Xenopus tropicalis: one gene and its partners. The protein of the gene in region 2 interacts with the protein of the main gene of each other region in a biochemical or structural test. Links are inferred from orthologs where the notes say so. Each region holds a gene or a part of one and is shown on either strand. Other genes may lie near its edges. The genes, in order: hif1a, ep300, ddx17, sp1, creb1, parp1 and npm1.

What was found.
Region 1: the proteins of ep300 (region 2) and hif1a form a complex in vitro, tested with the Homo sapiens proteins (25 studies listed by BioGRID and IntAct, with this or other methods). The link is inferred for Xenopus tropicalis from reciprocal best matches to the Homo sapiens genes EP300 and HIF1A.
Region 3: the proteins of ep300 (region 2) and ddx17 form a complex in vitro, tested with the Homo sapiens proteins (2 studies listed by BioGRID, with this or other methods). The link is inferred for Xenopus tropicalis from reciprocal best matches to the Homo sapiens genes EP300 and DDX17.
Region 4: the proteins of ep300 (region 2) and sp1 form a complex in vitro, tested with the Homo sapiens proteins (4 studies listed by BioGRID, with this or other methods). The link is inferred for Xenopus tropicalis from reciprocal best matches to the Homo sapiens genes EP300 and SP1.
Region 5: the proteins of ep300 (region 2) and creb1 form a complex in vitro, tested with the Homo sapiens proteins (2 studies listed by BioGRID, with this or other methods). The link is inferred for Xenopus tropicalis from reciprocal best matches to the Homo sapiens genes EP300 and CREB1.
Region 6: the proteins of ep300 (region 2) and parp1 form a complex in vitro, tested with the Homo sapiens proteins (2 studies listed by BioGRID, with this or other methods). The link is inferred for Xenopus tropicalis from reciprocal best matches to the Homo sapiens genes EP300 and PARP1.
Region 7: the proteins of ep300 (region 2) and npm1 form a complex in vitro, tested with the Homo sapiens proteins (2 studies listed by BioGRID, with this or other methods). The link is inferred for Xenopus tropicalis from reciprocal best matches to the Homo sapiens genes EP300 and NPM1.

What each region holds. Positions count from the first base shown.
Region 1 is NC_030684.2:101,984,915-101,989,150, reverse strand, and holds the start of hif1a (hypoxia-inducible factor 1-alpha), read left to right. Parts: upstream 1-1,277; 5' UTR 1,278-1,637; coding exon 1,638-1,672; intron 1,673-4,236.
Region 2 is NC_030680.2:115,934,892-115,938,561, forward strand, and holds part of ep300 (histone acetyltransferase p300), read right to left. Parts: intron 328-3,670; coding exon 1-327. UniProt on the Homo sapiens protein: Functions as a histone acetyltransferase and regulates transcription via chromatin remodeling. Acetylates all four core histones in nucleosomes. Histone acetylation gives an epigenetic tag for transcriptional activation.
Region 3 is NC_030680.2:120,521,851-120,525,739, forward strand, and holds the end of ddx17 (probable ATP-dependent RNA helicase DDX17), read left to right. Parts: intron 1-1,364; coding exon 1,365-1,598; intron 1,599-2,501; coding exon 2,502-2,917; 3' UTR 2,918-3,325; downstream 3,326-3,889. UniProt on the Homo sapiens protein: As an RNA helicase, unwinds RNA and alters RNA structures through ATP binding and hydrolysis.
Region 4 is NC_030678.2:146,984,247-146,988,643, forward strand, and holds the start of sp1 (transcription factor Sp1), read right to left. Parts: upstream 2,841-4,397; 5' UTR 2,792-2,840; coding exon 2,785-2,791; intron 2,478-2,784; exon of another isoform or gene 2,130-2,477; coding exon of another isoform or gene 2,030-2,129; intron 1,703-2,029; coding exon of another isoform or gene 1,700-1,702; coding exon 1,620-1,699; intron 1-1,619. UniProt on the Homo sapiens protein: Transcription factor that can activate or repress transcription in response to physiological and pathological stimuli.
Region 5 is NC_030685.2:49,783,063-49,787,486, forward strand, and holds the start of creb1 (cyclic AMP-responsive element-binding protein 1), read right to left. Parts: upstream 2,819-4,424; 5' UTR 2,685-2,818; intron 1-2,684.
Region 6 is NC_030681.2:7,987,637-7,991,775, reverse strand, and holds the start of parp1 (poly [ADP-ribose] polymerase 1), read right to left. Parts: upstream 2,880-4,139; 5' UTR 2,766-2,879; coding exon 2,646-2,765; intron 1-2,645. UniProt on the Homo sapiens protein: Poly-ADP-ribosyltransferase that mediates poly-ADP-ribosylation of proteins and plays a key role in DNA repair.
Region 7 is NC_030679.2:20,062,175-20,066,423, forward strand, and holds the start of npm1 (nucleophosmin), read left to right. Parts: upstream 1-1,399; 5' UTR 1,400-1,451; coding exon 1,452-1,512; intron 1,513-4,249. UniProt on the Homo sapiens protein: Involved in diverse cellular processes such as ribosome biogenesis, centrosome duplication, protein chaperoning, histone assembly, cell proliferation, and regulation of tumor suppressors p53/TP53 and ARF.

The DNA of each region.
Region 1 (4,236 bases), on a different chromosome or scaffold from region 2:
AACCCCCATCTGTCTATAATCCCCTCTAATGTACTTGTACAGAGTAATCATGTCCCCTCGCAAGCACCTCTTTTCCAGAAAATACAACCCCAACTTCAACAGTCTCACCTCATAGCTTAAATCTTCCATCCCCTTTACCAGTTTAGTTGCAGTCTCTGCACTCTCTCCAGCTCATTAATATCCTTCTTAAGGACTGCATCATCCCTTGAGTCAATTCTCTTTATTATACAAGACAGCACTTTATTTGCTTTAGTAGCCACAGAATGACACTGCCTGGAATTAAACAACTTGTTATCTACCTCATTTTCCATTTTGCTGCCTGGTTTTCCAATTTTATCAAATCACTCTACAAAGTGGCAGGATCCTGCATCCTGCATGTGTTTTGCACAATTTAGTATTATCAGCAAAAATAGAAACAGTACCGTCTATGCCCTCCTCCAGGTCATTAATAAACAAGTTAAAAAGCAAAGGACCAAGGACTGACCCCTGCGGTACTCCACTAACCACACTGGCCCAATTAGAAAATGTTCCATTTACCACCACTCTTTGTAAATCTATCCTTCAGCCAGTTCTCTATCCAATTACAAATATTATGTTCTAGGCCAATATTCCTCAATTTTATCATTAACTTTTTGTGTGGTACTGTATCAAACACTTTAGCAAAGTCCAAGTAAATGACATCCACAGCCATTCCAGAGTAGAAGTTCCTGCTCACCTCCTCATAAAAGGCAATTAAGTTAGTCAAGATCTGTATAAAACCATGCTGGCAAAAACGTACTGTTTTTTGCATTCAAGTATTCTTTCCCTTATTACCCCTTCCAAAAGCTTTGCTAGTCGATGTCAAACCAGCAGGCCTATAGTTTTCAGGCTGAGAAACGGAACCTTGTAATGAGGCCCAGATGCACAAAATGTCTAATATGGACTCAGCCCAGCAAAGCAGCATGCCATTTGTACCACGCACCCACTACTGCCAGTAAACCGGACATTTAAGAGCAGTTTTGAAATCCTAGTTCTACAACGACAATCCTTTTCCTGCAGTTAGTCAGCAGTGCAAATAAACTTTTTCAGACAAAAACGTCAGGACAACACGAGTTCTCAAAAGTGGAAGGACAATATTTTAATATATAATCCCTTATTTGCAGCAGACATTGCATTGTAAAGTTATACATTAAATTTATTGGCACTGGGCATGAGTGGGTTAAGGCTCATCCGACAAATCGGCCTCCGCCCCCCTCCCACCGAGACCAGGGAAAAGTGGGCAGGGCAAAGCCGCCGAGGGCTCGGTCATGTGTGAGCCTACTGATTGGCTGCTGCGATCTACGTCGGCGGCAGCTCGAACTGCACACCCACTCGGTGACGCAAGCACTTTCCCCGAAGCGTTTTGTTTGCGTTGAGTTAGAAGTCATCGGCCGAACCGGGAGAAAAAAAAGAAACACCGCGATCGTACGGTCGGATTGAGCGGAGGGATTGCGTCAAAAAAGAGTTCCTGCCGGTGTTGTCGGGGTCTGACCTTGCGAGCGCCTCACGCCTGTGGATTACAATAGCCCTTTCAGTAGGGCCCTCGGTTTCTGCGTGCATAGGACAAAACCCTCGGCGCTTGACACAGCTCCGGAGCGTCCCTCCCCCACTCGCTTGGCATGGAGGGATCTGTAGTAGCGAGCGACAAGAAAAGGTGGGTGCTCCGCCTCTGTGTGCGCCCTCTGACCTGCTGTTCCGCTGTCCGAGACCCCTGGCCTCACACCCTTTCCTTTAGTCAGGCCATTGCAATGAATGAGCTATTGATTCCATAGGGCAGAGTTGTAGATCTGAGCCACAGGTTGAGCAGAGAAGCACAGGGCCTGCCTGCCAACGCCGCTTGTGTTAGTCCGGGCAGCAGTGGAGGCTGCTGTGGGGCTGAGTGTGCTAACAGCCGGAGGGGCCGCCACTAAACAAATGTTGTTTTCATTCCAACTCCAACACTAATTTGTTTCCCATCTGTACTAATGTTTGCCCTTCCTGGACCTTCTGCGTCGCCATTTTGTGCGAGACTTCCTAAGTTTCTGCTGCTTCCCTGTTTGCTTCAGCTTTTATACTGAGCCGAGTGCCAGGCTGCTGTGAGTGTAATGGCAGCCCCACACACCAAGGCCTCTCATATCGGTTATTTCTGTTTAACTGATTATAACTAGCAATGTACCACATTCATGTATGTATTCTCCACTTACAACTATTATTCTGTGTGTATGTATATATACATACATAGAATTTGTTTAAGCATTGCTAAACATTTGTACCATACTTTTTCTGTGATCGTAATATTTAGTCAGGACACTATTTGCAGGGAGTGGGAAATGTTAGTGATACTAACTCAGGGGTGATTATTATTATTATCATTAACATTTATGTATAAAGCGCCAACATATTCCGCAGCGCTGTATAATAAGTAGGTTTCATACATTGGACATACAGAGTAACATATAAAGCAATCAATAACCAATACAAAAGGTGGAGAGCCCTGCCCAAAAGAGCTTACAATAGAAGTGTATTAGATAGTCCTGGAACTTTTGTAGGGTGGCAGTTAAAAATACGTTTTCACATAGGTGACAGTTTATTGATCCATACAGGAGCCACGTTCAGCAGGGTTAAAATATATTCAGTTGCTTCCATGTCGTTTGTGGCATAGGATATGCACATATTTTAGCACCATAGCAGTATATTAACTTGTGGGGTATAACCTTTATTTACTGTAACTTTGTAAGGTCATATGTAAAGGCATGAGAATTGTGATAACTATGCCAGTCAGTCATGTGATGTTGAGTTGCCGTAATGTATTTAGAGCAAGAGTAGTATGTCTCCCTCACCCAAATGTTGTGTAAGCTAAACCCATGTTTCTGGCTCGGATGATGTTTCTAAACTTCAAAGTTGTGTGATTGCCATAGTCTCCTGATCTATCTTGGGAGTTCATAGAACACCCAGAATTGCCTCTTATCTTATTGAATTTACACATTGTATCGCTTCAATGTACACAGTGCTCTACATGTCATAAACACAAACCAAGGTTATAGTTATCATAAATTAGACAGTGAGAATAAATCAATACTTAAAGGAACTGTTCAAAGTAAAAATAACACTGGCTGAATAGGCTGTGCAAAATAAAAAAAAAAAAAAAATGTTTTTACTATGGTTCGCTAAAAATGTAATCTATAAAGGATGGGGTGAGCGGATGTCTAATGTAATAGCCTGAATCTAGCTTCCTGCTTTGCATCACTCTAAACTGTTAGCAACTAGAAGGGGGGCCACATGGGACATCACTGTTCAGTTTGTGTGCTTTTAATCCTGACCTGCCTGCTCATGGTCAAAGTCAAACTAACTGGACAGTCGCTGACTAGCTAACAGGTTAGAGAGAAGCAAAGGAGTTAGTAGTTTTCTGGTGTTTATTTAATACATCTTTTCACTCCAGCCTCTATATATTACTTTTTTTGGCTAACTTTTTTAACAAACAGACTATGCAAAAATGTAAATAAATGTTTTTAATACAGTCAGTTGGGAAAAAATGTAATAAGAAAGGCTGGCATGAGCAGATGTCTAACATAATAGAATTTAACTTCCTCCTTTGCATTTCTCTAACCTAGATAGTCAGTGACTGTTAAAGTAGTTTGTGAGCACACAGGTCAGGGTCAAAGGCGTTTGCCTTTGACCCTGAACAGGTATGTCCGGATGAAAAAAATCTGTGTGCTTTTTAGTACTGTTTGATTCAGTCCTCTTTAAGCAGTCATTTGAAGTTGCCTGGAATTTGGAGGTCTGCTTGAGGCCATAGTTGGATTGCATTCAGTTACCAAATCTCAGCATGCACAAGGCAGTAGGAGTTGATATATTAATTTAATATCCATTCAGGCTGATTTATTGGTAATTACAGTATATTTTTCCAGGGTCGAAGGGACCTTGTATGTAAACAGGCATAAATACTAGAAAAGTGTAGGAAAAGTTAGGAAAGCTCAGTGGTAACCCCCCCAACTACATGTAAACGTGTTTCTTGCTTGAAGTTGGATAGTTTTAACAAGCAACCAAGATACACTGGCATTAAAATTGGCCTGGGTATAATTAAGGTGACAGCTTTCTGTTGTTTGAATGCTTGTATAATAGTTGGCTTTGTTTGGCATTTTGGTAGGTTTTTTTTTTTTTGGTGCAATCTTAATACCTTGGACAAAATGTACAGTGTATGAAAAGTATTGGTTTGACTAGAGCTGCAGCACTTGGGAA
Region 2 (3,670 bases):
CTGTTGGTCCAGTGTTTCCACTGCCTCCCATACCCATGTTTGGCGATGTAAGTCCTCCTTGGTTCATGGGACTTTTGACCATGCTGTTCAGTAGGTTTATTCCTGGGCTGTTTTGTGATGTTTGTTGCCCAAGGCCCATGCTCATGTTTGAGGTGGTTCCACCACGCAAGAGCTCAGAAAGCTGCTTATGCTTGGCAGCTGCATCAGGCACCATATTCATGCTGTTGTGTAGCTGACTGAGATCTCCACCATTAGTCAGACCAAACTCACTTGAGTTAATCAACTCATCCGGTAAATCCTGTTCCAAGTCGAACAGAGACCCAAAATCTAACAAGAAAAAATAAAAATTATCAGTTAATGCTACTGGAATTAAAATGGGAAAAACATAATACTACTCAAGAGAATCAGCAAAACTTTGCAAGGGAAGCTTGTTTGTTCATTCTGGTGGTTAGGCTTTCAGCAAGGTTTATGCATGGCGGCTCAGCCTGAAAACCAATTAGGGTGAAAACTGGGGTGAAAGGCCATTTGCTATTCTAGATACACCTCAATGCCTAGTGAAGAGTTAGTGAGAGCTGGGGTGAATAATTGGATATTCCTGAAAATATGAATGACCCAATGATATTTTCCTGTATCTGCACTCATTGCACAAGTTAAGCAGGCGCCCTGGCTAAAGGTTGGACAGTCAAGTGGGGACTGAACAGAAAAAAAGCGATTATGAATGGCGATAATTTTTTTTCACATTTATAAAGAACCAAAATATTCCGCAGCACTGTAGAACTGTTTAGAAAATATTAATTACAGATGCAGCATGTTAGCCTATCAGTTGTGGTCCTTGCACGAATAATCAGAACACTAGAAAGGCAGCCATACCTTGTATGGCCCCTTGTAAGCTCTCTGTCCATTCAGCCTGTGGGCCAATAGTTTGGAGAGTGTACCCAGCTACTCCATGTACCGGCCCAAGATGAATTAAACATTTGTATCAGAAGGCAATTGCTCATGCAGCACAGAATAACATACCATAGTTACCCGTTACTATTTGCCACTTTTGCATGTAAGGCAATCTTTAGAATATTTTTTAATAACCTAATTACACTGTTTTCTGTGGACTAAAAGACATCGGGAGATGAACATGAAAAGAAAGTTTTCATGTGTTCATGTTTGACTCTCAAAGACAGAAAAACCGAAGATGCTTAAAGATTTTGTTCACCTATTGAGTTAACTTTTAGTATGATGTAGAGAGTAATATTCTGACACAATCTAATTGGTTTTCATTTTTTCTTATTTGCGATTTTAATTATCATTTAACTATTTGTCCAGCAGCTCACCAGTTTAGAATTTCAGCAGTTATCTGGTTGCTAGGGTCCAACTTACCTTAGCAACGAGGGGGTAGATTAAATGAGAAACTGAAATATTTATGGGAGAGGGCCTAAACAGAAAGTAAATAAATAAAAAGTAACAATAATAAAACTGTAGCCTCACAGAACAGAAAGTTGGAAAGAGGCAGAGAATGACAAAATTTAAAAACTATAAAAAAAAAAATAAAGAAGTTCAAACCAGTTGAAAAGTTGCTTAGAATTGGCCATTCTATGACATACTAAAACATTTGCTATGCCCAGGATGCAAACTTACTGAAATGAACAGATTTTGTTACACTAAATACAATTTATTATACATTTTTTTGGAAACTAAACCTGCATTATTATTCAGGGAAGTCATATTAGGAAGAACATATTCACTTATTGCTCATCTTTTGTCAAGGATTTATAAAAATTAGCATCACGCTGCATTTGTATATCTATGTTACCACCCCCAGACATATTGTCTGTATAATTACCAAAATGGTATTGTAACTAACCTAAATATAGATGCAGTATGCATTTATCTGGAAATATTAGATATATTTTGCCACATGCAAATTATTGCTAATTTTGTATACTAGTTAGAAGGCCAGTGCTCTTTGAAAACCACACAACGCGTACACTATGCAAAACAGACAACTCTACAGTATTCTCTCAGCATAGTGGATATCAAATCTGAGCCAATAAGTTATTTGAGCTGTGTTATTTTTCTGCTTTTAGCCAAGTCTAAAAAGAAGCACTCCACATATTAATCTGACCACTACATTAAAGATCAATTAAAAAAAGGGGATGTAAAATAAATGCAATATTAAACAGTGATACTTATTCCCATAATCTGGGAGCCACAGTTTTAAGGTATTCCAGTAGGAAGCAGATACAGTTGATTATAATCAACTTGCAGGAATAGATGCCCCAAGAAAATCTGATCACTGCAAAGTAAGAAACCTGCTCCAAAACAGTTCTCTTTTCAAATATTCCCATGATGCAAGAATATTGGGCGTTTTAGTAAATGAGAAAAGGGATATAATTCCTTTGCATACACAGGTATGGGATCTATAATCCAGAATGCTTGAGACCTGGGGTTTTCTGGATAAGGGATCTTTCTGTAATTTGGATTGTTTTGCCTCCAACGAGGATTAATTATATTCTAGTTGGGATCAAGTACAAAGTACTGTTTTATTATTACAGAGAAAAAGGGAATCATTTTTAAAAATTAAAATTATTTGATTATAATGGATTCTTTGGGAGACAGCCTTTCCTAGAGATTATGTGCAAATCCATATTTTGTTATAAGTGATGTTTTAAACCACTTTTGCACTGAAAAATGAATGATAGCTTTTAAGTGTACACAAGAATATTTACAAGCAAAAATCACTGCACACTGAAAATGTATCTAACCAGTAAAAAAAGAGCACATTCAGGAATACCTGACTAAGTGACCAAACCAAAATCTGTACATAATATTGTAGCCATGAACAACAAAATATCTGCCAGTCTAATAGCAGACCTGTGATATTTAAAGACAATGTGTTAAATATAACATAACTTAAGACTTTGTTTCAAACTGCAATGTTTGCTACAACCCATACATTATGTTTTTTCATTTATCCAGTAACTCCTTTCAAAATATCTTGGTGGTTGAAAGGAAGCATCATTTTAAGCTATTTTCCAATGTACACTAAACATTTTCTATGACTTCAATTATCTGTAAATAAAAAATTGAAATTGGAAGCATTGCAGTTAGGTAGGTTATATATAGGCATAAAAGGTTGAACTTAATGGACATTTGTCTTTTTAAACCTAATGTACACTATGTAAAACATATAATATCACTTTGTCCTTTAGTGCCAACTGTCAAAACGTAGCAAAATTCAGTTTTCATCTGGCTGTTTTATCAGCCATCCCTTGAACCTGGGGAATATGTAACTGGCAAGTATTTTACTACTGTATTGAGAATTCAAAATGTATAGCCATTACACATAAAATGCATGACTAGTTTTCCTACAATATTTGCCCTTTCTATAGTCTTATACTCTTTTTTTGGCCCATTTACACCATACCTAAAGACACATTGTATTTTAAAATGCAACTTAGAGCAATTAATTAATATAGTAAAACCAAACCATTGTATAATGTGTAGCCCCCTGTGTACCTCCCCAGACAAAATGATCTTACAGTCCTAATGAAAAGTTTATGTTTACACTATGATTCAACAGGACAAGTTAATACAAAATGCACTATAGAATCAAAAGCATGTAGAGTCCAGTCTGCACACCAGTCCGTTTCTTCCACTCCCATAACAGCAAACTAAT
Region 3 (3,889 bases), about 4.6 Mb from region 2:
TGTTCTTGCCCAGCCTTATTGAATAGAAGGACCACCTTTCTAGAAGGGAGATCACACAGATGCTTCCCACTATGCCATCTGCTGGGCAACTGTTGGGAAGTCTTTTGGCTGTCAAAGCAGAAGAATAGCCCTTCTGCCCTTCTTCAGACCTTTTGTGGCTACTTCCTAAACTGTTTAGTTCCTCCTTTCTCCCTGCCTGCACATGCAGGATGTGGCAGTGTGCGTGACTTCCCATTCTGTCATGGAGAACATAAGAAAGTGAGCGCCCTAGAAACCTGTCATTTCCTTTTAACACACTAAACTAATGGACAGAGCAAAAATTTAATTTGTTCATCCTATTGGTTTCAAAGTTATTCTTCCCTCCTAAATAGTGGAACTTTGTTCTCCCATTTTTTCCTTTTTTTAAATTAATATTATGCTGTAAATTAGCCAAACCTGCAGTTCTTGTGAGTGACCTTTCTGTAATAAGAAACAGACATTTATCCAAACTTCCCTTTTGGTAAAATCTGATAATTAGCAGCTTTGTCCACATCCACCTTTCAAAGATTTTAATAACTTTATTGATGGCAGATGGTGAGTGTTGGAGGATGGGGTCTCTCTTCGCCCATTGACAGGTTCACAAACTTGGACTTGGGAGAAGGGCTCCCCCACAGAAGTATCTCGCTCAACCAGTGCACCTGTTGGGACCTCTTGCTGCGCCTGGACCGTTGATGCATGCTCCCTGCTCCAGTGGCCCCTTATCCAAGGATGAAGGGCGGCGACACCGCCATGAGCCAAAAAGACGGGATTGGCGACTGCTGTTTCCCTACCTCACTGAGGGAGTGTGCATCGGTCCGGACACCAGCTCTTCTGAGGAAGAATCCCACTAAGTTTAATTTAAATTATTTATGGTTTTTAGTGCTTTAATGGTTTTCTCTTTTAGCTTTAGGATTTTAACTGGTTCAGTGTCAGTCATCTCATATCTGATGTGTTCAGTTTGGGCATTATATTAGTTACAGTTTATGGAATAGCTCTCTGAACTATATTGTCAGTGAATTTATCTTCAATGTTTTCTAACATAATTGTGACTGGTAAATAGTATTATGCATCTTTGCATATGAAGCCCTAATCCATCTGAAATGGTCAATATTCTGATTTCTAATTTAAGACTTCAGATAAGAACCAAGATAAAGGCAGCTTTAGCTTTTGGAACAGAAATTACAGGGAATCACAGTTTGCCTAGACACTCTAAGCTTTAGTCACTGAAGTGTAGTAGAAATCAGAAATAGTTTGAGGCAAGATTTTTCTACATTTACTAACTTTAATCTTTGTCACTCTTCTGGCGTGTGTATTTCCTACACGTCAATTTCCCACTCAATTTTTAGATGTGGAGGATATCAAGTTCGTCATTAATTATGACTACCCAAACAGCTCTGAAGACTACGTACATCGCATTGGCCGTACTGCCCGTAGTACTAACAAAGGCACAGCTTACACCTTCTTCACACCTGGTAACCTCAAACAAGCCAGAGAACTGGTAAAAGTTCTAGAAGAAGCAAATCAAACAATCAACCCTAAACTAATGCAGCTGGTGGACCATGGCCGTGGCGGTGGTGGAGGTAGGTCATTGCCCTGAGGTTTGTGTACAGTATATAACTAAATGTGATGGTTGGATTTGAAGTTGTCTTTAAGTAACAAGTGTTAAAAATCTTAACTACTTATTAATTTAAATGTACTCTTCCACCCTGAGTAGCAGAGTGTAAGGGAGGGGTGGCTGGTATAAAGAGCAGTATACAGCTTTCACCTCTGCCTTAGGACAAACGCAGCTCACAATTAAAATCTTAAATTATATTTAGATAACAAGTGTGTGCTGGGACATGCATAAAGCAATATATCAATACAAAGGAGACTACCCAACAATTCTGGGCATGTGTGGCCTGCTTAAAGCAGTTTGGCCTATTTCAACTTTACTGACTGACCATCTAGATGTGTATGTCAGTTGAGGGATGAGCTTTTGACAATCCTGTGATCCTGATGGATGGCAGATGAAATCTGTCCTGAAGATTTAGAGCTAAGCTACACAGGAGATGTAGAATGGTGGCAGGTTGGCTGATTACATCCTTGCATAGGTCAAAATATAATGGGACTGATAACAAAATCTGATGTGTAATGTATATGGCAGATTTGTCATCCGGCAGGGCACTCCACTGCAAGTTGTGTCCGACAAGGTAAAATCTGATAGTGTCTAAAAGACTTTGTTGGTTTTCTTCGTCAATGTAGATGCGTTAACAAAACGCACCATCTTACTTCTGATTTGACTTACATTACAGCAGGAGGGATCAGATTGTGTAGCATCCCACTTTTGCTGATAAACAATGTTGGCAGGTGCATTGGAAGCTGAAGAAAGTTCTTAAACTATTCCTCTTTAGGTCTCTTCTTTCTGTAATGTGTAAACAAATGTATTTCTTTACTGTTTTCCTGTGTTTAAACCATATGTTAAAAACTGCTCTAAATCTCTCTAGGTGGCCGATCCAGATATCGCAGCATTCCCACAAATAACAATCCAAATATGATGTACCAGGAAGAGTGTAACAGAAGAATGCATGGTAAAGATGGAGGAAGACGTGATGGGAGGAACAATAACCGCGATGGTGCTATTTCTAACAATCCAACCGGGCGAGATCAGAACCGGCCAAATTACAGCTACGGTGGCCAGGTTTCCAATTTCCAACCCAACCAATACAGCTACGGACAGGGTGGCTTCACAGGAGTAGCTAACAATTATGGCACAGCAGCATATGCCCAGGCACCGCAGCCACTGATGTCACAGCAGTTTGCCCCACCTAGCTCCTCTGGCCTATTGAACTATATGAACCAGGCAGCCAGTTATCAGTATCCCCCTCCTCCTCCACCACCACCTCCACCTACACGTAAATGAGTTCTTCAGCCTTTTTATCTTTTAGCCTGTGTTACCAGTTGATGTAATACACAATTTCCCTCAGTAAGCTTTATGTTTTGTTGCATTTTGTTTTTCCTTTATCTTGATCACAGCAATGTTTGGGAATTAGACTTTTCCAATCTTTGAAGCTGTTCTTTAAAGTTAGTGTTCAGGATTCTATGTGCTTTGTTCTGGCAGTAGCCTTAAGATGACTTGATGTATTTGCAGGGCTTTTCGGTTTTTTTTTTTTGTTTTTTTTTACCTGTTTTGTTTTTTTTTTTTTTTTTTGCCAGAAAGTTTTGAAAGCTACTGTGGCTGCTTTTTTCCTTTTTTTTATTACTCCTGAGTTATTCCAGGTAGGTAAAATTCCAGACTGTCAAGCATCATTCCTCCCTTATTTCCCTGTCACCAAGACTTTTTTCTCTGTATTTATAATTCCCTTGATTGGTGTATAATCCTCCTTTCTTCTGGGGGTGGGGGACATCTACAGTGTTATGCCTCTCCTAAATACATTGACCCTCCCACTATATAGACACTATTTTGGCATTTTTGTTGCCATGTGTGACAAAGACAAAGGTAGGTTCTTTTAACAAGCATTAATAAGTTCACATTAGTTAGATTTATTTTTCATGGCAGGTTGTCTGTACCTCTCATCTCACTGTTATTTCAGCTTCTGTGTTTTGTGTTATAGTTGCATTTCTCTCAGGTGTAATTTTGTTTTTCAGTTACAGATAATGCCCCATACCTTTAAATAATGTTACCATTCTAGTTTGCTGGAGTGGTTATTACATTTTTAAAATTCATTTCTCTAAATTGTCATGAGAACCATCTGACACCATTTTGTAGATAATAAATTTTTTTTTAAAAAAAAAGTCACCATGTGTACCATTGTTTTATTAGAGTGGTGCTTTTATTGATCTCGCTGTAATATTTAAAGCATAACATTCAAATGTTCTGGCTATCTGTCAACTC
Region 4 (4,397 bases), on a different chromosome or scaffold from region 2:
CATAAAAAAAAGATAAGGTCATAAATGTACTGAGGAATGACACACAGAAAGATGGTAGAAAGAGTGACCACCTTACAGGAGAAGGCAGGCCAATGCACCATATGCTACGTGTGGCATTAGCCTTAGCTTACCCCAATGTTAGTGAGAGAGGTAATGGTGCAGGTGGGTCATTGCCCAGGCATGTTAGTGTGCATTCCCAGGAAAAACACACAGTATTACTTATTTTACATTAAAATAATAAATATAATGGAAAGTCAATAATGGAAGAAAATTTGTTGTCAAAAAAAAAAAAAACAAACAGCTTTGAATGGGACCTATTACCCTGAATGCATGGACCTAGGTTTAAGGGATTTGAGTAATTTGCATCACTATACAAAACACAAAAGAATTGTTTTGCCCCAGATTTATGCAGCTAAGATACTATCGATTACAAGCTACTGTTTTATTACAGAGAAAAGGGAAATCATTTTTATAAATTAGTATTATTAGCATAATATCACATCGAATTGCTTTCCCCACATCCTGGTGCAGGCTAATAGAGCCCGCACTCTGGTTGGGGGAAACACACACACATATAATATATATATATATGTGTGTGTGTGTGTGCTGCTCCTACGTCACACATTTGCGCACAATGAGTGAGGAGTCTTGCTCATTATGCACATGCACGCTAAATAACATGGCCGCCCGTGGGGGCTGTTTAAAAAAAAAAACCTATTGTTTTCCAGAATGCGGGCTCTAAAGCCTACACCTCTGGTGGCGGGAAGAAACTAAATGGTGATAGGTGCCCTTTAAACTTAGTTCTATGATGGTCTGCAAGCAATTTAGAGCTTTCTGGATAAGGGATTCTATAGCTGTAGCACTCTATTACATATACATGGTTCAGCGTTGGGAAGATATCCAACATCATCAGTTGGGGGCGCCACCTCCTGCGATGGCCTAAGACAGCACAAGCTGCAGAGATAACCATGCCTAGGTGGGTGTTGGTACAAAGACAGTACTACCCACAATGGAATAAACTGGGTGTGTGCTGTAAGTGATATTTTATTGTTGCACAATAGCAAAAATAACACTCAGTGAAATTTAGTGGAGCATTGCCTTTCCAGCCTTTGCTACAAATCTGAGCAGATTTAACCCTAACTGCCATTTACACTCGGCCCCCACCAGCCGAAGCAGCAGATGCAGTTGCTGAATTTAATTAAAAATGTAGCTGCCAATAAGATGCAAGACTGAACGTGAATGTCAATTTAACCCTTCTACGGCTATGTCCTAGGTGCCATTTGCAGTATTAGCAACAGCACAAAGAGTGCCAGCATGTAAACAAACCAGCATGTCAAGGAGACAGCCAGAGAGAGAACAGGAGGGACAGGGCTGGGGGGAAGGGTTTCTGGGGCCTGCCCCAAGTGGGCAGTCAGGAACAGGGGGTGGGAGGTTTGCCAGCCAAAGGGTGGGAGGACAGCAGCCATTCTCAAAGAGAAAGGAGGAAAAAAAAAAAGGCCTCAGCCCCCCTCCCCCATGCTCATCCAGTGTACAGGCAGCCAAGGCGAGAGGGCTGGATAGTTCCCAGGCATGGTCCCTGCCTATCTGTGTATAATGCAATATGGGTGGGTTCCGCTTACCTGCCCCTTCTGGATGTATCCACCTCCTGTCCGGTTTTCGGACTTTATCGTAGGCATGTCATCGGACGTGTGCTCCTGATCTGCTGTCAGCGAAGGGCACAAGCACAGAGAGAGAGTGTGTGAGTGAGGGCAGTGAGTAAACATGCACACACAGGCTTACAACATGGCCGGCCCTACTTCCCTGAGAAACACAAACCCCTCAGCTTAGAAACAGACTGCTGAACTACAACTCTCACAAACCTCTCAATACTGGAAGTGAAGAGACTCACAAACATGTTTCCCATCTATCAGCCTAGATAGCCTTAGCAGCACTGTTGTGGAACTACAACTCCCACAACCCTCTGTAGAGGAGTACGTTCTAGAAGTAAAATGATTTACAAATAAATATAAATGGTCTACATAGGCTTCACCTGCGAGTAATGGCAACTCCAGAGGCAAACTACAACTCCCAGCGGCCCCGTTCAGCAGGTTAATGAAGGGATCTACCGGATGAAGGTCCCTCCCATCCATACGATGTCAGTGAAACTGCCCGAGCTGAGGGCGGATAATGGTTTCAGGGGAACTACAGATACCCCACAGCTACGGATACTGGGAGTGTTTGGGCGCCAGAGGGGCAGATATCCCCAGTGTGAGGCAAGGATTGCTCTGGGCAGGGGGGGCTACAGAAGGAGGGCCGCAGGCTTCACATTATAGGCGAAGGCAACGGGTTCCGGGGAACATTTTAGGGTCACGTATTGCCCTTTCCCTGTGTCACGAAAAGTACCGGCTACCATGCTAGGAGGGGCGGGGGGCAATTTTACAATTCTACCCCACCCACCGAAGGGGGCAGAAAAACAGGGCGGGAGAGGAGGACAGCAGGGAGGGGTTCTACCGCCACAACCACCTCTCCAGTTATAGGGAAAAGTAAAAAGGGGGCGAGGAAGGAGAACGAACGAAGTAGTGAGGGCGGATATGACTTTATTTCTACACCCCCGCCTCCTCCTCCGGTGGTACCGGCCGCTCTCAGCATTCCGCCAGCGAGTCATGGCGCGCAGCAAAAAGCCCACAAAGTGGCCAGGGGGAGCGATCCCTCACACAAGCTGCGTGCGAGCAAGCCAGGAGGGGCTCTGGGATAAGCTTGCGAACCCGCGTTACCTCCCGCCCTTATGCCCACTCTCCTGCTTACCGCTCATGTTGTTTCTGGGGCCGTAGGTACTTCACACAAACCTCGGCTGACGATGGCAACCTAACCTGGCTGCCGCGCGGCGGAGACGGTGAGTAGGCGGGGCTACGGGCGGAGATCGACAGACCGCCTAACCACTCCCGCCGAGGGGCGGCTCCACCCGCCCAATGGGGTGGCGCGGTGGGTGCAGTTAGCTGGAGACTGACAGAGAAGGCTGACCAATTAGAGGTGGAGTGACCCCGCCCAGCCACGGAGGCGGTGTGTGATGGGGGAGGGAGATGAAAGAATGTGGCGGGGGTGGTGGCTCTCTAGTCTGAACCCTTCCCAAGGTTAGAGTGACACTGAAAAGGGCCAATCATAATCGAACGAAGTCCAAGGCGTTTCATTAAGTGACGAATCATACGAGAAAAGCAAGCAATTGAAGAGCTGTGTGAGGAGGGGAAGGGAAATTAAAGTTTGACTGGTCGTTGTAGGGTTTGGGCGCCATTTGCTGGAATTGCAGAATGTCGCTCTTTAATTATTTAGAATAACTGGCCACAGCTATTAAAGTATTCGTTTTTATTCGGCATCAGCCTACGTGCAAATAGGAAGCAAGATGGCAGCAGTCGGAGTTGCGACTGAGTGGCTACGTGACTAAAGGGGCCGCATTATCTGTAATACAGAGAGGGAATGATGGACGGGTCGTGCATAGAAAATAGCAGGTTTAGAATAAATATCAGAGTTACAACAATAAAAAAAAGTGACATAGGTTACATAAAGCCGAGCACAATATATAAGGCTTATTTTCTTTATTGGGCCACTTCTTCCAAATTGATATCAATAATTATTAAGCAGCCAGTCCAGTAAAGCATTGTCAGTCCTATCATTAATAGAAATATATTGCTCAATAAAAAATGAATGCCTTTTCTTGAGAAAACAGTCCTGGCTGTATTTATTAGATTGTAAGGGCTCTGGCACACGGGGAGATTAGTCGCCCGCGACAAAACTCCCTGTTCGCGGGCGACTAATCTCCCCGAGTTGCCTTCCCCTGCAAATCGGCGAAAAAGCCTCGCGAGGCAACTTCGGCGATTTGTGCTAAATCGCGCCGCCGCGTGTGCCATCCCACCGGCGACTTACATTTTCGCCGGTGGGATGGCAGGGGAAGGCAGCTCGGGGAAATTAGTCGCCCGCGAACAGGAAGTTTTGTCGTGGGCGACTAATCTCCCCATGTGCCAGAGCCCTAAAGGTGTAACTGAGTCCATCACCATTAAGCTTCCATTTTATAGTACAGTTTGCTGATGCTTCCATGTAGCTCAATTCCCATATTGCTTGAGGCAAAACGACATAGGGGCACATTTACAAAAGCGTGAACACTCCGAGCGTATTTTCGCCGATTTTTTCGGGCGTCCGCACGACTTTTTCAGACGTTTGCACGAAAAAATCATAAAGGTTTTACCACTGTTTACAATTGTTCGGTACGAAAATTTCGCAACTTTCGGATCGCCAATACGATATTATCGTGACTAATACGATTTTTTCGTAAGCATTTTCGTGATATTTGCGATCTTCCGAAATTTTCGTTTCCAATATGATTTTTACCCATTCGTGATTCGGATTCATGGATTAGTAAATGTGCC
Region 5 (4,424 bases), on a different chromosome or scaffold from region 2:
CAACATTTCTGTGCTACTTTTGCACACTTATATATATGACATATCACAGGCCTTAAGACAGGGAAGCGTCTCATTATACAATATTTATTTCCTGCTATTTAGATTTATTTTATCTTATGGACAGACTGGGATTCACTCAGCAAAATATGCCAAAGGTATATACTAGAATTTGCCATACAAGACATTTCTCTATTATTATGTACTATAATAAAAGGCCACAGCTACAGGTTTTTAACAGCATTATTATACTAGGATGGGAGAGGTATGTGTCACCCTCATAGTGTTTCTATCAGTTTTGTTTTCCTTTTAGTAATCAAAATGAAAACCTGCAAAGCCCTTGCATAAAAAGAAAGTTTTCATCTAATGTATTATTAAAATGAAAACAACTTTGAAATATACCTCAGAGCTTAAGTGTATGATGATCTCTGCCTATTTATGAAAGTGTTCAATAACTAGAGTATAACGAAAAAAAAAAAAAAAATACGCATGCAGCTTATTTGGGGTTTCTGGAAAGGGGCTTTGAAAAGGCAGACTTACAGGAGAATGTTCAAAGTGTTGGGAAAAAAAAACAACCTATCCCGCCTAACAGGAAGTGACTGAATAAGCAAAACACAAATACAAAAAATAAAATGCAAGCATTTTTGTTTTTAACTTTATTGCATTTCAAGGGAAAAACAGCATTCTTATGGGGGGGAACCCTTTGAAATCCATCTATATGCACTGTAAAGTTTACTTGGTGTTTAAAAACATCTCTAAAGAAGTCTATAACTGTTTGCCATTAACCAAGAATATAAAACAGTATTCTAATTACTGAAATATTTAAGCCTTAAATTAAAATATCACAAATAAAGCCAAACTATGTTTGTCTGCATTCAAATTAAATCAATTAATATTTAAGCGATATCAGGTCACTTATAAATGTTAGAATTAACGAGCACACTAATATGTACCAACCCCCCTGAAGCCATGTTATAGGGTACCAGCAATGAAGTTTTAGCAAGTTTAATTGTGTGTAAATGAGTGCTTTGGGTATTCACATATTAGCCCCAAACGGACAAGCTAGAACTTGGGTCTCTAAATTGACCAATACAAATTACAGCTTTCTAGAACCTGGGGTCCTTAGCCCTCTACTTGGCAGAATGTTTGAGTACCACAAAAGTTGTGCTTTAATGCTTCCCTGCAATTACTAAGGTGATGTAGATTTCATACTTTTGAAGTCTAATCATACCTGACATACTTTAAATGCAGATCTGCATTAAGTAGACAATACTAAATAAAACAAAATGTAAAGATCTATTATAAACAAATTTTATTCTCACTGTCCAGATGTTTTCATCAAACAAAAAGTAATGAGCAAGCATGAGGGAAATAATGTGGAAGTTCAATAAGGGATTGCAGTGCAACAAAATATATGGACAAGAAAACCGTACCAGTCTTGGATGAAACATGGAAATCTCTGAAATGTTACAATCTTCATTTCTTCATGAAAAATGTGTCAAAATACATACACAGACTGCCAGAGAGACATTGGGGCCAATTCTGTTTTTAGAGCTTCAAACATTCAACACAGGATAAAAAAAACTGCAGAACAAGGGTCACATAAATATGAAGCTTTAAAAGCAGGATTAGTGGAACCTCCCTCTGGTAATCTTGGTCAAAGAGCTCACCCTCACCAGTCTACACTGACCCTTGATGCTGCTGTTACCCAACCAGTGGACAACTATTAAACCATGACTAGAAGGATGCCCGGGAGCTGGGGTAAGAATATACAGTAAAAAAATAAAAATATCTACCCATTGCTGCCAGAAGAGCAGACAGTTGGTGAACCCTGACGATCAGATATTTCAGGAACCCACTAACAATTCGAAATGAAGTCATGCTCAGCAAAAAGACCTGCCTGCTTTCCCTCTGTACCAACTAGCGAGCCACTCAAGTCCAACCTGCGGCCCTTCAGCTACTAATATGCAGCCCTCAGCTCATCCTGACAGGACCTTTAGTTCGACCCCGGCTGGAGTGCCGCAGGTAGGAGCATTGTTTATAAATAATAACCTAAGAGTCACGTTAAACTTTAAAAAGAAATTTAACTTTAAAAAGTAGTGTTAAAAAATATGGGAGGAAAAGAAGAATTCGTTCATCGCATCATGAATATTCCCCTTTGAATGAAGACTATATTGCGGGAAAACATGAACGATACTAGTCGCATGTATCTAACAAGCCACAAAAAAAAATATATATATACATACACACATATATAATATATATATATATATATATGTGTCGTGATAAGCACCGTTGACTGTCGCGACAGTGAAAGATTGCGGAGGTCTCCCCACCGGTGACCCCCTGTGGCTGTATCGCACACCCCAGCTCTTGCCGCCGCCGGCTGCCTCCTCCCGGCCGCCATTATCCTTTGTTTCGCGGCTCTTTATTTCACCCCCTCCGCACGGTCTCCATTTTTACTATGGCGGGGTAAACATTCTGTATTATCTAAGGGGGTAAAAAGGGGAACCATGACAGGCGGGAAAGCAAGCTCGAAGGAAAAGCCGGCGCGCTGTTCTTGGCAGCCCCCAGAAATCCCTCCCTACAATCAGTTGCCGCCTGGGTATTTGTGAAAGCAGCCGGCGGTGAGGCCTGCTCCATCTCTTTTCCTCCATGCCTCTCCCTCTCCTCCTCCTTCCTCTTACCGGGTTACACTGCCTCTCCTCCGTCACTGCTTTCGTTCGCGGCTGGGATCTCGCTGGGCTTTTTTTTATTCTCTTCCCCACCACGTAACACACCGCGTCAAACTACACCTCCGCCGCGTCACTGCTGCTCTTGCTCTCTCTTCTTCCTCTTGTGGTGGCGCTAGTTTTTTTTTTTCTTAAGCTCAGGCCCGGGCGCGGCGTCAGGGCGGCGGGCTCTTTTCCGACAGGACACTGAGGAAGGCCTCGACAGACTAGGCAGCCAACAGCAGAGGGCGGGGCGGAGCTAGCGCAGGGTGGAATCTGGGCAGGCGCAGAAGTTAGGCCTTAGTAAAACCTTTCTGCTGCAGTTGTACTACAGTTCCCAATACCCCTTTCCGACACTGTAAGCGGAAACCCGTGTATCTACTGATGCGACAACTTGCACAGGCTGCAGTAAAGCTACAGAGCTAACAGGCAGTTAAGGTTGGTGAGTGTGGGAATTATGAGAAACGGGCTTTGGTTACCCGCGGCGACCTTACCTGTGCTTTGGCTGCTTTGGCTGAATGAACAGTGCCGTTGTTGTGATTAAAGCTATCAGTTTAGTTTTCATGTTTTACAGGTTAGTCTGATAGTTTTATTACGATTCTAGAACAGATAACGTTACCCTGTCGCCCTTCTTCTTTTTAAATCGGAGCTGTTTCATGAAGTGCTTATGACGCTATAGTGTACTTGCCACCTTGAGTATTAGGTGGCCTGATGAAGGGGTTCGCCCCCGAAACGTTGCCTTGAATAAACACGCAGGGGTTATACCCCACTTGCACTTTACTTGTTGTGCCGGCTGAAATCATTTTTACTGGACTTTGCGGAGAGTGCGGACTCTCTGGGCCGTGCACCAAGTAGCTAACCTGTTGGAGGAGGTAAGGGTGTGCTGGTGTAACTATTTTTCCATTGCAACTTAAGGTTGCCATACGGGGCCAGATTTCAGATGCTAATTCTGTTCCTTAAGACCGACTCTGCAGCTTATTTGCCCCTGCATGGGACCCTCCGACAGAACCCCCCCAACAGATATCTGGCCAAAAATGATCCAGATGTTGATTGTACGTGCTTGATTTTTTGCAGGATCGGGGACTGCATTGGCTTATTGATGTGGTCCTTGATCTGGCTTTTCCTATCCCCTTCATTGCAATGTGATGGGGCACGATATCACCCACCCAAGGTAGGCATATCGGGTGAAAGATTTGCCCGTTTAGTGACCTTGCCATGTATGGCCAACTTTAAAGGAACAGTAACATCAAAATATGAAAGCATATTAAAGTAATTACAATATAATGCACTGTTGCCCTGCACTGGTATAACTGGTGTGTTTGCCTCAGAAAGACTATTATAGTTTATATAAGCAAAGCTGCTGTGTAGCCATGGGGGCAGCCATTCGAATGAGAAAAGGCACAGGTTACTTAGCAGATAACAGATAAAATGTGATTGTATTCTATAGAGTTTATTTGTTATCTGCTATGTAACCTGTGCCTTTTCTCCTTTTTTCCAGCTTGAATGGCTGCCCCCATGGCTACACAGCAGCTTATTTATATATAGACTATAGGAGCGTTCTGTAGCAAATACACCAGTTTTACCAGTGCAGGGCAACAGTACATTACATTTTAATTACTTTAAAACACTTTCATATTCTGGTGTTACTGTTCCTTTAAGTATTAAGAATGGATTGAGATCCAAAAATATCTTCCCACTTGTGATCCCCTTTAGTAC
Region 6 (4,139 bases), on a different chromosome or scaffold from region 2:
TATAGGACCCATTATCCAGAATGCTCGGGACCTAGGGTATTCCAGATAAGGGGTCTTTCCATACTTTGGATTTCTACTAAACCTGCTAACACAAGAAATAAACCCAATAGAACTGTTCTGCCCCCAATAAGGGGTAATTATATCTTAGTTGGGATCAAGTACAGGTACTGTTTTATTATTACAGAGAAAAGGGAATCATTTAACCATTAAATAAACCCAATAGGGCTGTTCTGCCCCAATAAGGGGTAATTATATCTTAGTTGGGATCAAGTACAGGTACTGTTTTATTATTAAGGAGAAACCGGAAATCAATTTTAAAAATCTGAATTATTTGAATAAAATTGAGTATGGGATATAGTCTTTCCGTAATTTGGAGCTTTCTGGGTTTTCAGATAACTGATCCCATCCCTGTATATTAAAAGCAAAGTTCGATGTTCCAGACTGCAAAACAAAGCACAAGGCCACTTACTGAATTTTTCTTACTCGGGTGCATTAACTTCAGCCAAAATAGATACAATTCCCATACACAGAGAAAGAGGGGGTCTTGAATAAAGACCAAAGCAAAACTGTTTATCTGGACTGATGCCTAGAACTGTGCTTCAGTGTATGTACATCACTGCTGATCAAATCCAATGCAATCAGATGAGATCACTTTAGTCTGGTCTCCCCACCATCACCTGGCATGTATGTGGGGGGGCACTGGCTGACCAGTATGGGGGTACAGCTTATTGCGTGCCCAGAACATTCCTTCTCTGTATATTTGTATTTATACATATGGGTAGGGGGTGCCATAGTGTTTCCCTTAGACAGTACAGTATGGGGGTACAGCTTATTGTGTGCCCAGAACATTCCTTCTCTGTATATTTGTATTTATACATATGGGTAGGGGGTGCCATAGTGTTTCCCTTAGACAGTACAGTATGGGGGTACAGCTTATTGTGTGCCCAGAACATTCCTTCTCTGTATATTTGTATTTATACATATGGGTAGGGGGTGCCATAGTGTTTCCCTTAGACAGTACAGTATGGAGGGCATCATTTTGTGTGCCCAGAACATTCCTTCTCCGTATATTTGTATGTAGATAGGACTCAGCTGGAAATCCCTTACTGATACTACCTAGTTAGTCTCAGTTCAGCACAGTAATCATGAAGGAAGGGGGTGGGTGCTGCAGAGCCACAGGGGCTAATAAAGTGCCCAGTGTGACACCAGCCTTTGTTATCTAGTAGAGACAATTGCCCCGGCTCCCCCCTGGGTTCTGAGCTGCTCGGTATGTATATAGCCTTACAATGGGCCCCCGGCACTGTAAAGTCTTGTAAATACAGGCCAATGGCAGCCTCTGGGAACACGGGGCAAATATTCCTCTTGCTGTGCAGCTCTACGGTGGGTGTGTAAACATCCAGAATTGCCCTGGCTTCTCCCTGGGGGAGGGGTTTGGGCAGATACAGAAACAAACTGTATATAGGATCCGCCTTCTTATTCCCAGTATTGGTACCATGTTACCCCATTCTGGGAGAAAGACCAACAATTTGCCCTGGTTCTTTCCCTTAACTTCCCTGGCTTGCCAACAGAATACCCCAACACAGGGCAATAACAGCCCATCACTGGGGCAATTACCTACTATACATCACAAACCTACCGTTTGACAACAGTCCCCATTCAGGGGCAACAAGCCCCCCTACAACTCATTACTGCCCTATACCTGAACTCAAAAGTACCCCAGCTGGGGCACTTACCTAGAGCATGTTATCCATTGGCTTTCACAACATACCTTAACCTGGGGCAATAACCTTCCATGACACCCCACCTTAGGACCCGTATTCACAATAATAACCCACTGGGCTGGAGGGGGCACTTTCCTATACCCCATTACTAGGGCAATTAGCCCAGGGCTAATAACTTACAAACTGCCCATGCTGTATGAGCCACACTAGCCTCCCCATAGGCAATAATGGCCCATACTGTATGAGCCACACTAGCCTCCCCATAGGCAATAATGGCCCATGCTGTATGAGCCACACTAGCCCCCCATAGGCAATAATGGCCCATACTGTATGAGCCACACTAGCCCCCCATAGGCAATAATGGCCCATACTGTATGAGCCACACTAGCCTCCCCATAGGCAATAATGGCCCATACTGTATGAGCCACACTAGCCCCCCATAGGCAATAATGGCCCATACTGTATGAGCCACACTAGCCCCCCCCATAGGCAATAATGGCCCATGCTGTATGAGCCACACTAGCCTCCCCATAGGCAATAATGGCCCATACTGTATGAGCCACACTAGCCCCCCATAGGCAATAATGGCCCATACTGTATGAGCCACACTAGCCCCCCCATAGGCAATAATGGCCCATACTGTATGAGCCACACTAGCCCCCCCATAGGCAATAATGGCCCATACTGTATGAGCCACACTAGCCTCCCCATAGGCAATAATGGCCCATGCTGTATGAGCCACACTAGCCTCCCCATAGGCAATAATGGCCCATACTGTATGAGCCACACTAGCCCCCCATAGGCAATAATGGCCCATACTGTATGAGCCACACTAGCCCCCCCATAGGCAATAATGGCCCATACTGTATGAGCCACACTAGCCCCCCCATAGGCAATAATGCTGCAGCCCAGCCGGGCCCCTACCTGCACCATGAGGGCAAGCCGCAGGGACTCCTTGGCGATGTTGTCTCCGCATTTCTTACAGGAGGCGCGGCCGCTCTTGGCGTACTCAGCCCGATAAAGTTTCTCCGAGGCCTCGGCCATGGCTGCAGGGAGGAGCGGCTCCTACACACAGGGACACTCCGGCTCCCACTGGAACAGCGTGCAGCCCCAAGCCCGCCACACAACAGAACAGGCACAAGCAATCACCGCCAGAGTGCGCGTCTGGGCCGCTTTGCTTCCTGGCATCCGGGGAACGGCAATCCATTGCCCATGTCTGGGCAGGGAGGGCGTGGCCCCAGCACACTTAGTGACGTCACTTTCCCTAGCTTATCTGTGTGTCTGTGTGAGAATTGTGAGGAATGTTTGTTTGTGTGAGGAATGTGTGTCTGTGTGAGGCAAAGTATTATGTAAGGATAATAACAAGGCGTCAGATTTGTGTCTTGTGACTATATGGGCACAGAACCCCTCAGTGACTGCTAATATCCTTATCATTTACAGTAGGGGGTACATTATCCCTTATAATACATGAGTGATACTCAGAGTTCCCTGTATAACTCAGCCTGCAGCCTTGTGCCTTTATATGGGGGGCACAGAACCCCTCAGTGACTGCTAATATCCTTATCATTTACAGTAGGGGGTACATTATCCCTTATAGCACATGAGTGATACTCAGAGTTCCCTGTATAACTCAGCCTGCAGCCTTGTGCCTTTATATGGGGGGCACAGAACCCCTCAGTGACTGCTAATATCCTTATCATTTACAGTAGGGGGTACATTATCCCTTATAATACATGAGTGATACTCAGAGTTCCCTGTATAACTCAGCCTGCAGCCTTGTGCCTTTATATGGGCACAGAACCCCTCAGTGACTGCTAATATCCTTATCATTTACAGTAGGGGGTACATTATCCCTTATAATACATGAGTGATACTCAGAGTTCCCTGTATAACTCAGCCTGCAGCCTTGTGCCTTTATATGGGGGGCACAGAACCCCTCAGTGACTGCTAATATCCTTATCATTTACAGTAGGGGGTACATTATCCCTTATAATACATGAGTGATACTCAGAGTTCCCTGTATAACTCAGCCTGCAGCCTTGTGCCTTTATATGGGGGGCACAGAACCCCTCAGTGACTGCTAATATCCTTATCATTTACAGTAGGGGGTACATTATCCCTTATAATACATGAGTGATACTCAGAGTTCCCTGTATAACTCAGCCTGCAGCCTTGTGCCTTTATATGGGCACAGAACCCCTCAGTGACTGCTAATATCCTTATCATTTACAGTAGGGGGTACATTACCCCCTATAATACATGAGTGATACTCAGAGTTCCCTGTATAACTCAGCCTGCAGCCTTGTGCCTTTATATGGGGGCAGGGCCGCCATCAGAAATCACGGGGCCCCTCACAACAAGATTTTCTGGGCCCCCCCTCCTCCCACACTCCCAATGGCCCCTCCCCCAGTGACCCCT
Region 7 (4,249 bases), on a different chromosome or scaffold from region 2:
GTAATTCCTGGCAATGTCATTCTGTGGCTACTAAAGCAAATAAAGTGCTGTCTTGTATAAAAAAGGGCATTGACTCAAGGGATGAGAACATAATTTTGCCTCTTTATAGGTCCCTGGTAAGGCCTCACCTTGAGTATGCAGTGCAGTTTTGGGCTCCAGTCCTTAAGAAGGATATTAATGAGCTGGAGAGAGTGCAGAGACTGCAACTAAACTGGTAAAGGAGATGGAAGATTTTATATTCTAAAGTATATTAATGTGTGTGCTGTATCGCACTTTAAATAGGGGTACAATCTCTCATATAAATGCAGCTTGTTTAGGAGAGATCATCTGAAAATACAGAGGTTTCCTGAACCCCTATGTGGCTCCCAATAAAAGGGCTAACAGATCTTTCTTAAACCCCAATGAAAGGGCTAACATGTTTCCTGAATGGAAATAAAAAGGCTAAAGGTGGCCATACACAGGAAGATCCGCTCGCTTGGCGATGTCGTCAAGCGAGCGGATCTTCACCCGATATCCCCACCTACGGGTGGCGATATCGGGGAGGCATGTAGGTGAGGGCCAAATGATCGAATTCTGCACGCGGCAATGGGGCATACGGTTCGGGGACCGCATCAACGAGCCGATGCGGTCCCCGAACCGACGGGATTTTCTAACCTGGCCGACCGATATCTGGCCAATTTCAGGCCAGATATTGGTCGGCCAGTCCGCTCGTTTCTGCCCCTACACGGGCCGATAAGCTGACGAGTCGGTCCAAGGGACCGATATCGGCAGCTTCTATCGGCCCATGTATGGGGACCTTAAGGTCCCTATGTATATGAACATTTTTAATTGACATTAAATAATTTGATTGGCATTAAATACACCTTTCAGATCCATTTTTTTCTTTTTAAAACCATTCCACATTTATTTTGCTAGGCTGAAATTAGTGTAAAAAGTAAAAGTGGCCTATAATCAAAGCCACACCCATAGCAGAAAAGGCACTGCCTCAGACTAGTATCTCACTTTCCATATTATATCAAAAGCAGTTTAAAACCAGTAAACATGTCTAAAGCCCGCATATGAGAACGTTACTAAAATTAATTATTACATTAATTATACACAAAAAGAGTTCAGGGATAGAGATCCCCTTTAACAATCTCTGCTATGGACACAGGCCTACACAACGTGAACTCCTTGCCATTATCTTACAAACAAGCACATGGTGGGTCACGTTAAATTCCTATAAACCCACAGCTCGTTTTGCGCAATCACATACCTCACAGCAGAACGTGTTTAGCCAATCGTAAACTGCGTTACTTGTTTGAGGGAAAATAGCCCCGCCTTTCTATGGCGTGAAATCTCGCGAGAAAAAGGCCCGTACATATAGAGACACGTTGCGCGCCATTAGTTCTCAGAATCCGTCCGTGCCGCTGTAGAGTAGAGGGGGTACATCTGAATTGAATTGGAACAAAATGGAAGACTCCATGGATATGGATAGCATTGCTCCCCTGCGCCCTCAGAATTTTCTCTTTGGTATGTATACAGTACCAGGGGTTTTGAAACTCGGCCACGGGTTTTTTTTGGGAAATATTATATAGACGTCACACGTTCCGCTGACTTGTTCATGGCTCCCCGGTGTCCTGCTTTTAACGGGACAGCCCAGTTTTGCGTCACTCAGCCCGCTGTCCCGGGCTTTTGTTGGAATGTCCCCGCTCCTTCCTCACGGTTAGACTGCTCCTGGGCGCAGGAGCCGAAAGCATGGATTCATTGCTGCTGCCCTTTGCCTTTCTATGGCTCCCCTCCTGCTACCACTACCACATTATGTGGAATATAGATTCCTTCTCCCTCCCCCAGGTACAAGCTGCACCAAATGAATGCTCTTTAACTGCTTCCGCCTCCATCTCTCCTTCATATTACCTCCCTACCCAGAGTTATCCTAAACTTTGAAGCCAATATTGCTCCAGTTTATCATCTATAATACCACCTATATCTATAATACCACCTGCAGGTTCTGTTAGCTACAACTCCCTGCACCCATCAATATCTAACATACATTGTACAGCTCCTATTTAGCTACAACTCCCTGTAACATGTGCCATTGTTTCAATATCTCCACGTGTAAATAGCCATGTGCCTATCAGCTGGAGCTGCCATTCTTACCTCTGCACTTATCATCAGGAAGGAAGAGTTAAATATATATAGATATATATAAAATAGTCTAGATAGATATATCTATCTATCTAATCAAATAGTTAAGAATTTTAAAACTAATTTCCTTTTTCTCTGTAATAAAATAGTACCTTGTAATTGATCCCAAGATATAATTAATCCTTATTGAATGCAAAACAATCCTATTGGGTTTAATTAATGTTTTGTTGATTTTTTTAGTGTATTTAACGTATGGAGATCTAAATTACAGAAAGACCCCTTATCCAGAATACCCTTGGTCCTGAGCATTCTGGATAACAGGAGATAGATAGATATAGGTAGATATATTCTCGATAGATAGATAGATAGATAGATACAGAGATATATCTCAGGTTCTCTATAGAGAACCTATCTCTGTATCTATCTATAGAGAATATATCTACCTATATCTATCTCCTGTTATCCAGAATGCTCAGGACCAAGGGTATTCTGGATAAGGGGTCTTTCTGTAATTTAGATCTCCGTACCTTAAATCCACTAAAAAAATCAATAAAACATTAATTAAACCCAATAGGATTGTTTTGAATTCAATAAGGATTAATTATATTTTGGGAACAATTACAAGGTACTGTTTTATTACAGAGAGAAAGGAAATCTGTTTTAAAATTCTGAACTTTGATTAAAATGGAGTCTATTGGAGACAGGCTTTCTGTAATTTGGAGCTTTCTGGATAACAGGTTTCCGGATAAGGGATCCCGTACATGTGTTTCAAAATAAATAAAAAAAAAATACACACAAGTGCCATAAATATCCCATAAAAGATATCTTTATAAATGGTGCCTGTTCATGTAATTTGTCACATGACTTGCATAAACTTGTGTATTGTAATAAAGTACCCACTGTTGTAAAATGAGGATATTCGAAGTCACCTTGGAGTTGGGCTATGGAATGTCTGATTTATAACACATGTAACACTTTTTTTGGCTGTAACCCAGCCAACTATGTAGAAGGGACCAAACCGAGCTATGGTGTAGTGCAACTACAACCCACTGTAGCTGTGTGCAGTTCAGAATAACAAATGAGAGCCAGAAGGTTCTTGCAGTTGAACAATAGAATCAGTTTATTGTTAGAGATATGCATGGTTATATATCAATATGCAGGGTAAGTGTAATATACTCACAGCAGTTTAGCATAGCATTTCTCTGCAGACAGCACAGAGGGTGCACATCCATTCCTCACAACTCCTCTTGAGTCTGGCCAGGGTCCGTGCCACTGGTTCAGTTTATCCACCCTTTGGAACAGTCAGATTGGATACCACACTCCTCAGGTTGAACACCTCTAGCCCTCAGGCTCCCACAGCAACTCTGGATAAGGGTTCTGATACTGCCTGCCTTCTATGTCTAAGGGCTCTGGCACACTGGGAGAGCCCTTAACCGTGGCCCTACGCTAAGGCAACAGTGCCTGTCTGGAAGTGTACTTCCAAAACTACTTTATTTGGTGGAGCCAAACTGCCCTTGCTTCCTTCCCTCACTATCTCGCTTTCCTAGAAAGTGCTCAACACAACATGCTATCTAACTGGTCCTCATTCACAGGGTCCCTGTCACTGACTTCTCTAGAGTCGATGCAGACTCTACGGTAATCACTTTACTGGGTCCCTGTTGATCCCAGGCTCAGTGGAACTTCCACCTGGGTCAGCAGATGGAGCCAAAGAGAAAGCCACACCCCCCTGCTAAGCACTATATCAGTGTGCCAAGGGAGTGGTCTCCCTGGTAACCAATAAGGCACATATGCAAAACTCTAAACTGATACATGGGTCTTTGCCCAGTAACTGCACAAGCCAAGGAAGCTGCAGGGTTTAAAGCCATAGGGGCATGTTAACCCTATAGGTCCCTACATGTATTTTTTTTTTTTTTTTTTTACAGTAGAGGGGACTTTAATCACTATTTGACGATGCATGGAGGTACAAAGGGCAATGCATTGTAAAAGTGAGTTCTTCAATAGGTAGAAAGATGTACATATAAAGCAGTTAGCCCATGCAAGAGGTAGAGGGCTCTGTCTGAAAGAGCTTACAATCTAAGGTAAAATATGTGGCATAGAGCATGGAATTTAATAGAACATTTCT